Linked DNA regions of Kluyveromyces lactis. The protein of the gene in region 1 purifies or fractionates together with the protein of each later gene. This does not show direct contact. Links are inferred from orthologs where the notes say so. Each region holds a gene or a part of one and is shown on either strand. Other genes may lie near its edges.

Region 1 (3,003 bases):
TTCTCCAACTCCTCAAGTCCTTCAAATTTCTTCAATTTGTTAGATTGGATGCTTAATATTCTCAAATTTTTGAGGTGTTGCAAGTTTATCAATTTAGGGATTGAGTTCTTACCCAACCATATCTCTTCGAGATTAGCCAAACCTTTCAAGTCATCAGGACCAATTTCTTTGATTCTGTTGCCACCAAGCTCAAGATTTTTCAACTTTGTAAGGGTTCCTAAATTTTCAATCTTAGATATCTTATTCTGGACGAAATACAAATTCTCGAGGTTTACCAATTTATCGACGTTCTTGATAGTTCTAATCTTATTAAAAGATAAGTCGAGTGTCTTTAGATTAGAGAAAAGATTAACGCTTTTCGAGATGTGTTTGATTCTATTATCGTAAAAATCAATCTCTTCCATGTTTTCTAACGGTAGTACCTCCAGTTCAGCTATTGACTCGATCAAATTCTGTCTTAAATATAACTTCTTCAAATTCTTAAATCTCAACAAATTCAAGTCTTCCAACGCCAGTACTTTCAAATGCACTAAGTCAATTACTTCGGTGTCATCTGGTATCTCTGCGGCCAATTCTGCATCTGCAGATATATAGTCAGGGTTGTGGTCTTCTATGACGTTCGATTGTAACGAGCGTCCCGCTGTGAACAACCCTGAAGATGATTCGTCCGGGGAATCAATACCAGTCTCTATTTCCTCATTCGTATTTTCATTATCAGTATCACTCAAAACTCTCTCTTCACGGCTCATTTTTTATATATTGGAAGTATATGGGTTCGGATCTAATACTAAATGGCGTTTATAACCATTGTCTTTACCTCAACAACCGTCTGTCTAAAGATGTGGTTTGCATGTTACATAACCTTAAAAATTGAACTCAGTGATCATTGGGCGCAAGGAAAAATGTTTGAATTACAAATCATATGACCCGATGGAAATCAAGTTCAAACATATGGAGTAATAAGGATATACAAATAGACGTTTACATATAGCACTTTGGCCATGAAACAGTTCATCAAAACTATCTTATCTTTCATTATAAGTTATATATGTGTGTCAATATATGTACATTCTTCCACATTAAATTCTGGTAAAACCGAAGGGCAACGTTTCGGATCCCAATTGCTTAGTTAGCTTCCGGGCTGGAAGCGATGTATTCCACAGTTTCACCGACAGACTTGAGCTCATCTGCAACCTTATCTGGGAATTCGATATCGAATTCTTCCTCAATGGAAACCAACAATTCAACGGTATCCAATGAGTCTAATCCTAAATCCTTGGAAAATTGAGTGTTAGCAGTAATCGAAGTAGCAGAAGCTGTCTTATCAAAAGATTTAATCACATCAGCAATACGGGTTGTGATTTCTTCTTTGGATAGAGAAGAAGAAGCATAGAACCTGGAAGCACTTGAAAAAGTTGGCTTTACAAATCCGCTTCTCAATCCAGAAACTCTGGTCAAACTTGGGGCAGCACGGAATACACTTCTAAACATCTTTGCTTTCCTTCTTTATCTCTCTGTAATATCACTAGACACTATACTGTACAGTAACAACGATCTGAAATAATCGAATGTAAAATAAAAAGAATGTACAACAAATGATCGTTGAAAATAGTTGTGGTAGAAAGGTTTAATCCAAACTCTCTCTCTGCAAAGAATTGGCTTTTGATCGATTTTTTACCGGGAAAAATTGCTTAGGCACATAAATCACTCCGTACGTTTTGATGTTTTCCTAAATGTATTTGGATTGTTATATAGACTACATGAGGTGAGAATTAGAACAGTTGCAGTGGGAGAAAGTTATTCTATGCTATCTTGTGCTTCTTAGCATGCTGATATGTGTGGTAGGACGAGATATTCTCGTAGCATGTGACGCTGCGTGAGATGGCGCGTTGCTTTTTGTAGTTCTATGGGAAGAGGTAACGGTGAGATCATGCATACTGTTTTTTGTTGCACTTCCGTTACTTCCAGCAGATCTGATAGAGTGGCTCTCTGAGAATATGGATCTTGACATTAGCATACTACTTCTCTTGGAAAAACTTTGCTGAGATGACTGGATTGATTTTATTCTTGCGATTATTTCGTCGTTGGTCTCGTTGATATCGATTCCGCTAACTTTGATCTCTTTTTCGAAATTCTTGGCGAATAAGTCCTTCAAAAGCGTATGTGACTTGCTTAAGCTGATTGGACACAGCTGTCCGTGTAGTGCGAGACAACGGTTTAGGACAATGGTCAATTCGTTGAACGCAGCAACTAATAATTCCACATCAGCAGGATCTAGTTTCGATTTGGTTTCTTCATCCGTATAGAATACACGATACTCTGCAATACCACCGTTAATAGGTGCATCAATGGTACCTGTGATATTTCTTGACAGTTCTGAAAATACTTCAGAACAATCGCCGTTTTCTTTCATTAGTTTATAGCACATGTCTTCAAGTCCGCTCAGTTCTTGGATCTTTTGTTGTAACGACTTGATGGCGTTGTTGATTGGTGATAGACGTTTCTCAGTGACTTTCACAACTTCGGATCTATTCATTAATGTTGGGAAAGTGGATTTCGTTTCAAAAATATACTCTATTACCCATAGATCAGTGATTCCGTGTGTCCCAGCAACTCTTCTAGAACTGCTAAACGTTTTCAAATCCCTGTTTTCTACGTACAATCTGACCTTGTTATTGTCATTCTTCTTGTCACTGGTGGCATACTCGTCTGATATTTGCAACCTTGGTTCCACACTGATAACGTGGATGAATTTACCATTCGGTGGCGATACCAATAACTTATCCGCTTCAGTAAAACTGTTCACTAGTTTTGAACCGGGATACAATTTTAACAGTCTGTTATGCACGGATGTGATATGTTCAAACGGTAATCCCTCGAACACGAACGTCTTTCCTCTCAGGTTCTTGGGGAAACCGTACCCGTAGAAGGAGACTTTGAAATAGTTCGGTACCAATCTGTCCACGTTTTGCAAATCGGTGTAGATGTTTGAGATTTGACCGT
Region 2 (3,054 bases), on another chromosome or scaffold:
AGGTCTCTGATATTTGACGCGATATGAGCGCGAATCATGTCATCTGTATATTCGTTTAGTGCAGTATTTCTCAACGCATATATAAGAGTAATCAATTCTTACTTCTTTCCAGTAAGGTGATCTCATAATTAAAAAAATAGACTCTACAGGCACGAAATTAGATTGCTTATCTATACTGTTTGATGCGACGGCACTGACGACAATGACCTTATAATTGGTATTAAGGGAAATATGCATAACATGAATAATATCTGGATTACGACGATGATATTATCTTGGATTTGGGTTGGTTGAAGTCACGTGCCTGTTCACGTGATTTTGAGCAATTCCAAACCCCATGTCTCTCTCTCTTTCCGCTTATTAATCCTCGAACAGCAGTCTAGCATGGATCGGAACGTCGTGGAAGACACAAATCGTCTGTCCTTGCTGTTTACAGACACCGTGTTTCAGTACCATAACCTACCCTAAAGACATATTAATTGTCTACGCAAACGATTGGTGTTTTGCGCGAAAGAGATAAACAAAATGAGTAAATTTACTAGCATTTTGAGTCATCCCAGTAATTGTAGAACTGTTGAGATCATATTGAATCTGTTAGAATCGCGTTTCTGTTAATTATACCTATTTAAAATGCAAAACATGGGATGCGGACCAAGGAAATTATGTGGGGGAACTGGACTAGTGGGACTGTCGTTCATTGATTGAAAGAAATATGAAAAAGAGAGGGGAAAGCATTCCTGTAAATGGGCCATGCTAACGCTTCTTCAGAGGCTCAACCACTAATTTATCAAATGTGTACATGTTAGAGATCACAGATTGCCTCTTCAATACACCAAGGTCTTTTTCTGCCTCAGAAAGCAATTCGCTGATCTTTTCAGGATTTTCAACGTTCTTATTGGCACGGAATGACTCTCTTGCCCTTCTTAAAAAATACTCTCTGAAATTGTAATTCTGTATCTTGCTCGCGTTCCTGATGAACTCTTTATACATATGCAATATCTGCGTTTTGCTTGCTCCAGTAGCTGGCATCTCTTGTATTAATATATGTGTGTGCTTGTGGATGTGTAGCTAGTTGAAGAGTTGAAATTATCTTCCTTACGAAATCACTCCAATTCCTTTCGTAAAAATACCTTTAAAACAACGGAAAGAATAAAACTGAAAGCTAGCGGATCAAATAATTACACGCAGAAACTCCGGTCTATGATAATACCGATATGGGATCCTGAACCTTACCTTGTGATTTGTGTTATGTATGATTAAACGTTCTTCTAAAAGTACTAAAAAATATAATAAAGTACAATATTTTTTTCCTTCTTTCCAATGTTAAAGAAATCAGAAAACGAAAGGAAATTAAAAACTGAAACTAAAAAACCAAAACACAACTTTATTCTGATTCTGATGGCAACGTGAATTTAAGATGTAAATTTTACTGTATAATAGTTTCTTGAATATTCTTCTGTTTTGCACTGCAATTCAGGAATATATTTATATATATATACTTCTATCTCCGAATTAGCTGAGAAAGATTTGGATTGTCTTTTCTTCTGTCAGTGCCGTTCCCTTATTAAAGTTAAAGTCAACTTTCGTACGGTATTTGTTAAATCCGTGGAGTAATATCGGAGCCAGGAGTTATTTTGGGTACTGGTAAGCAAACCGGTAAAGCAGTTTCGACGTTTGAGTGGTTAAGGTTAGACGATTATGAATAGTTATCAAGAATACCAGAGATTACAACATCTGTTGAGTGATCCAAAATATCAGCCATACGTGAATTTGGCAAAAAAACTGACATACTATGCCTCTTATTATCTGATATGGGCCCTACAGACGGTGCATTCGCTTGTAAGTAGGTACCCACAAGTCTCTGACTGGTTGGGTTACTTGTTTTCATTATACATGGCCTATTTGACTATAAAGCGTGCCATTCGAGTTGTTAAATCGTCCTCTTATGTTATTCTGGTAGTATTTGGTCTTTACGTCTGGCAAAGAGGCGTTTCTCAAGTTATCCTGATGGATTTGCCATATCTGGCAGATAGGTTAAAACAGTACGTGCATAACTTACCAAGGGATGCTCATGGGAACGGATCCTTTCTCAAGGATGTGTATGCTCCGTTTTATGATTTGTACAATTCGTTACAGGCGTTATTTTAATGCATGGAAGAGCGAAAATTTCTCCCTTTATTAATCGGTATTTATCTGCATATCAAGATTGATACTCTACTAGTTAGCCATAGGTTGTATATTTGATTACTAGACTGGAAAGTTTGGCCCATCGAGAAATGGTGCCATTGCAACTCGATTCCATTTTCTTCCTTTTATGCATCTCCTTTGTTCTCTCATCAAACCTGAAATGTTTCTATTTCCTGAAATCAATAAATGGCTTAACATTACATCACAACATTAACCAAAAATAATTCCGGAAGGCAAACACTTATACTAACCACACATTGATACAGAAAGCAGTATACCTGCCATACATTCACACGAACTTCCAACTGTGTATAAGATTAGCTGTTTAGCTTTACTATTATCAAGAGCAATTATCGGATCAAATACTCAGCTATGGTGAAAGATACCACATATTACGATATTTTACAGGTTTCTGTAGACGCTTCGCCTCAGGAAATTAAGAAATCTTATAGAAAGCTAGCAATTAAGACGCATCCGGACAAGAATCCAGATGATCCGCAAGCACAGACGAAGTTCCAAGAGTTGGCTAAGGCTTACCAGGTTTTGATTGACGATGATTTGAGAAAAAAGTATGATCAATTCGGATTGGACGAAACCAATGGTGAAATTCCTATGGACCAGGATCCTTATGAAATGTTAATGACCGTCTTTGGTGGCGATTCCTTTACATCGTGGATTGGTGAATACGGGTTGTTGAAGAACTTCTTGAATGAATCTGAGATGTTCCAAGATGAAGACGAAGAAGGTGAAGAAGAAGGCGGAACTGCCAATGGTAAGGATAAGAACAAGTCCGAAACCAGTGACTCTGACAAGAATGAATCGACTGAATTGTCCAAACATAATGGCAAGAAGGCCGCCGCCGAGAAG
Region 3 (3,262 bases), on another chromosome or scaffold:
AATACAAACATGGGAGTTGCCATTGGGAGATATCCAGAGGATATTTATGATGGAATTGACATCTCTGAAGGTAATCCCTGGTTTATCTCAACGTTAACCTCTGCCGAATTGATTTACAAATTAGTCAATAAAATGTATCACGATGAGAAACCTTTACTCATTGATCCGATATCGAACAAGTTCTGGACTAAATTCTTCGAATTTGGGAATATGAAGGATTCGCTGATCTTGATACCATATAATACATTAGCGTTCAACCAAACGTTGTACACAATATTCAAATACGGTGATTCATTCCTAAGCAAAGTTAACGAGCATGTAAGTAACGACGGATCGATGAGCGAACAGTTCAACAAATATCATGGATACAACCAAGGGGCTCCAAATTTGACATGGTCTTACGGTACTTTCAGCAATGCACTTCGCTGGAGGGAAATTGTCGATCGATTCATCCATCCTATTGCCATATAAGACATGGAATCACTCTTTCGAATAAAATGTAAAGGGGCAAGTTGTTAATGAAAAGTATATAGGTTGAATAAATACTTTGATAATGATAAATTTTAGCTGCTACTTGTATCTGCTTTACTTAACAAAGAAAAGTACTGAATCCTAAGTTCATTGATCGTTGCATTATTGACTATTAAAACATCTATAAAAAAACACAAGCTTAATACGAGAATATTTACATTTATTGACCGTCTCTAAAAAGCTTTTCCAACAGCAGTATGGTTAAACTTGACCGTGTTGCTATTACTCAGGAACTTGTAGACCTACCTTGTTAGCAGTCTTTTGAACTTTTTCCTCTTGTGACATTTTCAATCCTGGATTATATCTTTCGATCAACTGCTCGTATTCACTTTGATTGACAACAAAGGCCGCAATATCTTTCAAATGTTGAAGAGAACGCGGGTCATCTTTCAGCGATAGAACAATATCTTTGAGATGTTTGCTATGGCTGTAAAATAATAGCTCTTTAGATTTCAATGGGTCCTTAGTCTTCAAAATTTCAATTTTTTTTCCAACCGCACTGAGCTGTTTTAATACCTTGCTTCTTGCCATTGCATCTAGGCCCTTCTCCTGCTGTTGTCTCACTAATTGGATCCTATTGTATGTCAATAAGGCTATTTGTTTCTTTGTATCTTGCTGTAGTTGTTGGATTTTATTGTGCTTCGCACTACGGACAAGTGATCTCAATAGTGACTTATATGTCGATAACGTTAGCTCACTCATTGTATGATCCTTAATATATTCTATATTATCACTGCTCTGTGAGATAATGATAAGTGGAGATATCCTATAATGCCTATTATAATATGTCAAGGCAGAGTACTCTCATAACATGCTAGAATCACCAATCTAATACAGAACTCATCGAAACATTTTTCAACAGTCAAATCTCTCTTTAACTGTCGATCCAGATCACGTGAAACCTTTTTCACGTTTCTTCTGTAAATCTGAAGATATATTTCATTCCGGGTAATGATTCGTGTTTTTTTTTTGTCACTTTTCTTTATTTTCCTCTTGTTCGTTTTTTGACTGACTCAATGCCGAGAACGGAACCCAGGTCACATGATCGCGACTGTTATTATACTGCAGCGGGACCGACTTTCCAACTTGAACACAGGGGAATCAAATGTGACCTAAATTTTGTTAGAAATTGGCATGATAAGTATATAAATACAAAATATGGAAATTGTCCAGAGAGATTTAAAAACCTTGAATCACAACCGCTTTCATTTTACATCAACAACTGAAAAGGAACACTGTAAAAGATCAGTGAAGAAAGCCAATTCAATTGCCTGAACAACTAGCGGATCTGCCATTAGTGTTATAACTATCATTTCTATTCGTTTTCTTTTTTTCTAAAGGTTTTGTGTTTATTTTAAATTCCCTTCTCCACTAAGAAACAATATTCCAGATATAATTTGAAGTGCCCTTCTTTTCGAATTATATTAAGCTTAAAACAATAGTCATTATATCAGATCAATAGGTTTTCTCATTTCCGAGTTAATTGCTCTTTTATTTTAACTTAAAACCCCTCATATTCCCGGTATTACATACTAAATTACAAGAACATAGAAAAAAATGTTGAGACAAGGTATTGCTGCTCAAAAAAAGTCCTTCGCTACCCTAGCAGCTGAACAATTGTTGCCAAAGAAGTACGGTGGTCGCTACACTGTAACTTTGATTCCAGGTGATGGTGTTGGTAAGGAAGTGACCGACTCAGTAGTCAAGATCTTCGAAAACGAAAATATTCCAATCGACTGGGAAACTATCGACATTTCTGGTCTAGAAAACACTGAAAATGTACAAAGAGCTGTCGAATCTTTAAAGAGAAACAAGGTTGGTTTGAAAGGTATCTGGCACACTCCAGCCGACCAAACCGGTCATGGCTCATTGAACGTTGCTTTGAGAAAGCAACTGGATATTTTCGCCAATGTCGCCTTGTTCAAATCAATTCCAGGTGTCAAGACTAGATTGAATAACATCGACATGGTTATCATCAGAGAAAACACTGAAGGTGAATACTCTGGTTTAGAACACGAATCTGTTCCAGGTGTCGTTGAATCTTTGAAGATCATGACCAGGGCTAAGTCAGAAAGAATTGCTAGATTCGCCTTTGATTTCGCCTTGAAAAACAACAGAAAGTCGGTCTGCGCTGTTCACAAAGCTAACATCATGAAATTGGGTGATGGTTTGTTCAGAAACACCGTTAATGAAATTGGTGCTAACGAATACCCAGAACTCGATGTCAAGAACATCATCGTTGACAACGCTTCCATGCAAGCTGTTGCCAAGCCACATCAATTCGATGTTTTGGTGACACCAAACTTGTACGGTTCTATCTTGGGTAACATTGGTTCTGCTTTGATCGGTGGTCCCGGTCTAGTCCCAGGTGCTAACTTCGGTAGAGAATACGCTGTCTTTGAACCAGGTTCCAGACATGTTGGTTTGGACATCAAGGGTCAAAACGTTGCTAACCCAACTGCTATGATCTTGTCCTCTACTCTAATGTTGAGACATCTAGGTTTGAACGCTTACGCTGATAGAATTTCCAAAGCTACATATGATGTCATTTCTGAAGGTAAGTCAACAACAAGAGACATCGGTGGTTCAGCCTCCACTTCTGAGTTCACCAACGCTGTTATCGAGAAGTTAGCCAAGTTATGATCACATCAAGGAAATTATGACATCTTTTTATCCACACAAAACAAATAAAAGAAATTTGATCCTTATAATATCCTTCTCTACCTCCTAG
Region 4 (2,856 bases), on another chromosome or scaffold:
ACTAGCAACAATATGCTGTATTTCTGTTGACGTTGCTTTCAAGCTTTTGAGTCTGTTATGCTGCAGTATTCTATCCAATGCAATGTAACCATCAGAATCTATAGGCAAGTTTTCCTTCACAGCACCATGTCTCAGCAAATAAGCCAATGCTTTCGAAATTTTCACACTTCTGTCCTTAGGTTCCTGCGAATGCGAGGTGTTCATAATGGTTCAGTTAAATCGAGCTTAGCACTTTCTGTTTTCCCCAATAGCTTTGACCATGTCGTTCTCTATCGGTCATACATAACTAATGGAATGAAATATATATGACAACGAAAAAATAATTGGATGGAACCTAATATGAGTCAGATGACACACACGAACGTATATATAGATGTAAACTTAGGAATTACAATGTGCACTGTAGGCACCGTACGTAAACGCCTTGAAGTTGCATAGTAAAAATGATAAAATAGAGTTTGATTAAATAATAGAGACCGTTGACCAACATAATTCGTTATGTACATGATAAAGTTCCCATATTTGGTTCACGAAACCTGACGGGGAAGGAAAAGAAAAAGAAGATGTAAATTAATGATTGTGTATAAGCAAAATACTGTAACAGAATGCGCCATATCAGGGACTGCAAAACGCATCTGGGGTCAAAGACACCAGAGTTAGTAGTCGAGTAATAGAGTCCCTTCAGAAAGGACGAAATCAGGGGAAAGACAGGTCATCAATCTGCCTCATAATTTGCTATTCTGTTCCAGCTGCCTATTTGTACAAGCCAGCACCACCACCACAACAACCGCCACCTTGGGCCGCCAGTGTCTTTTTAGTAGTCTTGATAGTTTCGTTGTCACCCAATTCAGTGTCCTTATGGATGTTCAAGTGATATTTGTCATCCTTAGTCCTCTTACCTTGAACGACATTTTGTCTTAGAAACTGTGCAACATCGTTCATAAGCTTGATCTGTTGATCAGGTGGAAGCTCTGGATTTGGTGGATTGACCATGCTTTCTCTCATCTGTTGTCTTGCTGCCATTAGCATGCGCAAGTCTCCTTTAAAAGCAACGCGGGCGGCTCTCAACCCGTTTCTGTAAGCTCCGAGCGCTTGAGACATCTCGTGTTTAATATATAAGGATCTAGGTGACTTAGTTTGAAGCTTTACTATACGGTTTTCTTTGTCTTATGAGACTCTTCTCTGTCTAGTTATCACAGTTGATATTCGCCATTCTCATTTATATATATATTTTTTTTTGTTCATATTGAAGAAAAAAGAAAACTGCATAATATAGTAAACTGTCGCCAGAGAATGTTACAAACGACGGAACCAACAATCAGCCGAGTGTAGCAACATCTGCGGTACTTGATGGATTGTCCCATTAAGGTTACTTTCTAATGCTTGCGCGTGTGTCTGTATTTATGTATGAGTTCATGTGTAAATTTCTTGTAAGAAGAATGGTAAGATATATGAGATAAAGTATTGGCATATCTCTTCATCTTATGAAGACAAAGCTCGAGTGATGCATACCAGTATGCATGAAAACATAAGATCCGAGGATGGCTCTGAAATGACAGATGGAGCCTAAAACCACCATTATATGAAATATTTGATGTGAGTGTCCGACGAAATCAAATTTCCCAGGCGCTAACACTTCTGGGAACCTGAACCCGTAAATCACTGCACCGGCAATATAGAACATCGCTTCTAACAAAACATACTTCAATTGAACTCTGCGAATGGCCTCATATGCACCAAATTTCCAAAACCCAGTAACAATTGGAACTATCCCACTCAAACCGAATGTCACGTAAAACATTGCTCTGAAGGGTCTAAAAGTCTTTGAGTTAAATTTGTCGTGTAGTGCAAACACAGTGCAGATAGTTCCCAGAATAACGGTGAATACGGTGAAACATTTGAAATGGAAAATGTGGTCGTGGAATCCATAGTATAACAATGAGATAATGGAACACGTAATCATAATAATGATTCCCATGTAGTCCACTTTAGACCAGATATGACAATGCGATTCGGAGTGCTGCTTTAAGCAATGGAAAAAGCTGCTGCATCCTAAGCACAGCACCGAACCCAATAGGAAGAAATGGATCATAACACTTTGCATCATAGTAGAGTTTGGAAATTGAGGGACGAGAAACATATCTGCTAATCCAACAAGGAGCACCAAATACGTAATAGTCGGGACCAAATGAGAGTAAATGTTTATCGATTCATTATGGAATAAGAATAACGATTTGACACATTCCTTTACACTTTTAGTTTCACGGATATACCCTGTAATAATCTTATCATTGTCTTGTTGCCATTCAGGAAGTTCACTATATCTGTATAACCTTTTTATCGTGCTTGAAATTGCAACAGGAGTTAACTGCTCTAATTTTTCAGAAATAGATCTCCTGTGTCTGATAGTCGTAGTAGCACTCATACTTGTCTTCACACAATTAATATATCACTGGTTGTTGGCAGCACTATGTATACATAAACTTCCCGCAACCTTAGAGTCTTTGTTTTTACTGAAGAATAATAAAATTGTCTCAAATCCAGCTCATCTCATCTCATGATATTTATTTAAGGTGCGAAAACTTCATTTTTCAACAGTTTTCATTTTATTAACCGTTAAGTTTCTTAAAAAATGCATATAAATACGTACTACCGAGAGGGCATTATACGAAAATCCTAACAGTAGTAACCACTAATCCTACTCTTGATAATCACCTTCACGACTATGATCCTTTTTTTTTTTCACACTCAAAGTTTTCTTGTACCTGAGTCTATTGATGTGTCTATGAATTTATATTAGTTCAAGTAATCTCAACACATTTGTTGAGCCCTTGCACTTTCGATTGTACAGCAAAG

The links. Proteins that work in one complex are often made in the same cells at the same time.
Region 2: the proteins of ACP1 (region 1) and ISD11 purify together in Saccharomyces cerevisiae (affinity purification with mass spectrometry; 4 studies listed by BioGRID, with this or other methods). This does not show direct contact. The link is inferred for Kluyveromyces lactis from reciprocal best matches to the Saccharomyces cerevisiae genes ACP1 and ISD11.
Region 3: the proteins of ACP1 (region 1) and FMC1 purify together in Saccharomyces cerevisiae (affinity purification with mass spectrometry; 4 studies listed by BioGRID, with this or other methods). This does not show direct contact. The link is inferred for Kluyveromyces lactis from reciprocal best matches to the Saccharomyces cerevisiae genes ACP1 and FMC1.
Region 4: the proteins of ACP1 (region 1) and MZM1 purify together in Saccharomyces cerevisiae (affinity purification with mass spectrometry; 3 studies listed by BioGRID, with this or other methods). This does not show direct contact. The link is inferred for Kluyveromyces lactis from reciprocal best matches to the Saccharomyces cerevisiae genes ACP1 and MZM1.

Annotation. Positions count from the first base shown.
Region 1 is NC_006040.1:238,390-241,392, forward strand, and holds ACP1 (acyl carrier protein), read right to left. Parts: upstream 1,492-3,003; coding exon 1,126-1,491; downstream 1-1,125. Other genes in the region: type 1 protein phosphatase-activating protein SDS22, read right to left, coding at 1-749; guanine nucleotide exchange factor DCK1, read right to left, coding at 1,808-3,003. UniProt on the Saccharomyces cerevisiae protein: Carrier of the growing fatty acid chain in fatty acid biosynthesis. May be involved in the synthesis of very-long-chain fatty acids.
Region 2 is NC_006041.1:401,287-404,340, reverse strand, and holds ISD11 (Isd11p), read right to left. Parts: upstream 1,030-3,054; coding exon 754-1,029; downstream 1-753. Other genes in the region: APQ12 (Apq12p), read left to right, coding at 1,699-2,148; CAJ1 (Caj1p), read left to right, coding at 2,560-3,054.
Region 3 is NC_006042.1:387,071-390,332, forward strand, and holds FMC1 (Fmc1p), read right to left. Parts: upstream 1,234-3,262; coding exon 754-1,233; downstream 1-753. Other genes in the region: SGA1 (glucan 1,4-alpha-glucosidase), read left to right, coding at 1-471; isocitrate dehydrogenase (NAD(+)) IDH1, read left to right, coding at 2,089-3,174. UniProt on the Saccharomyces cerevisiae protein: Needed for the assembly of the mitochondrial F1-F0 complex at high temperature.
Region 4 is NC_006039.1:1,055,950-1,058,805, forward strand, and holds MZM1 (Mzm1p), read right to left. Parts: upstream 1,102-2,856; coding exon 754-1,101; downstream 1-753. Other genes in the region: TPT1 (tRNA 2'-phosphotransferase), read right to left, coding at 1-204; IZH1 (PAQR-type receptor), read right to left, coding at 1,478-2,425; KLLA0_C12463g (uncharacterized protein), read right to left, coding at 2,792-2,856. UniProt on the Saccharomyces cerevisiae protein: Assembly factor required for Rieske Fe-S protein RIP1 incorporation into the cytochrome b-c1 (CIII) complex.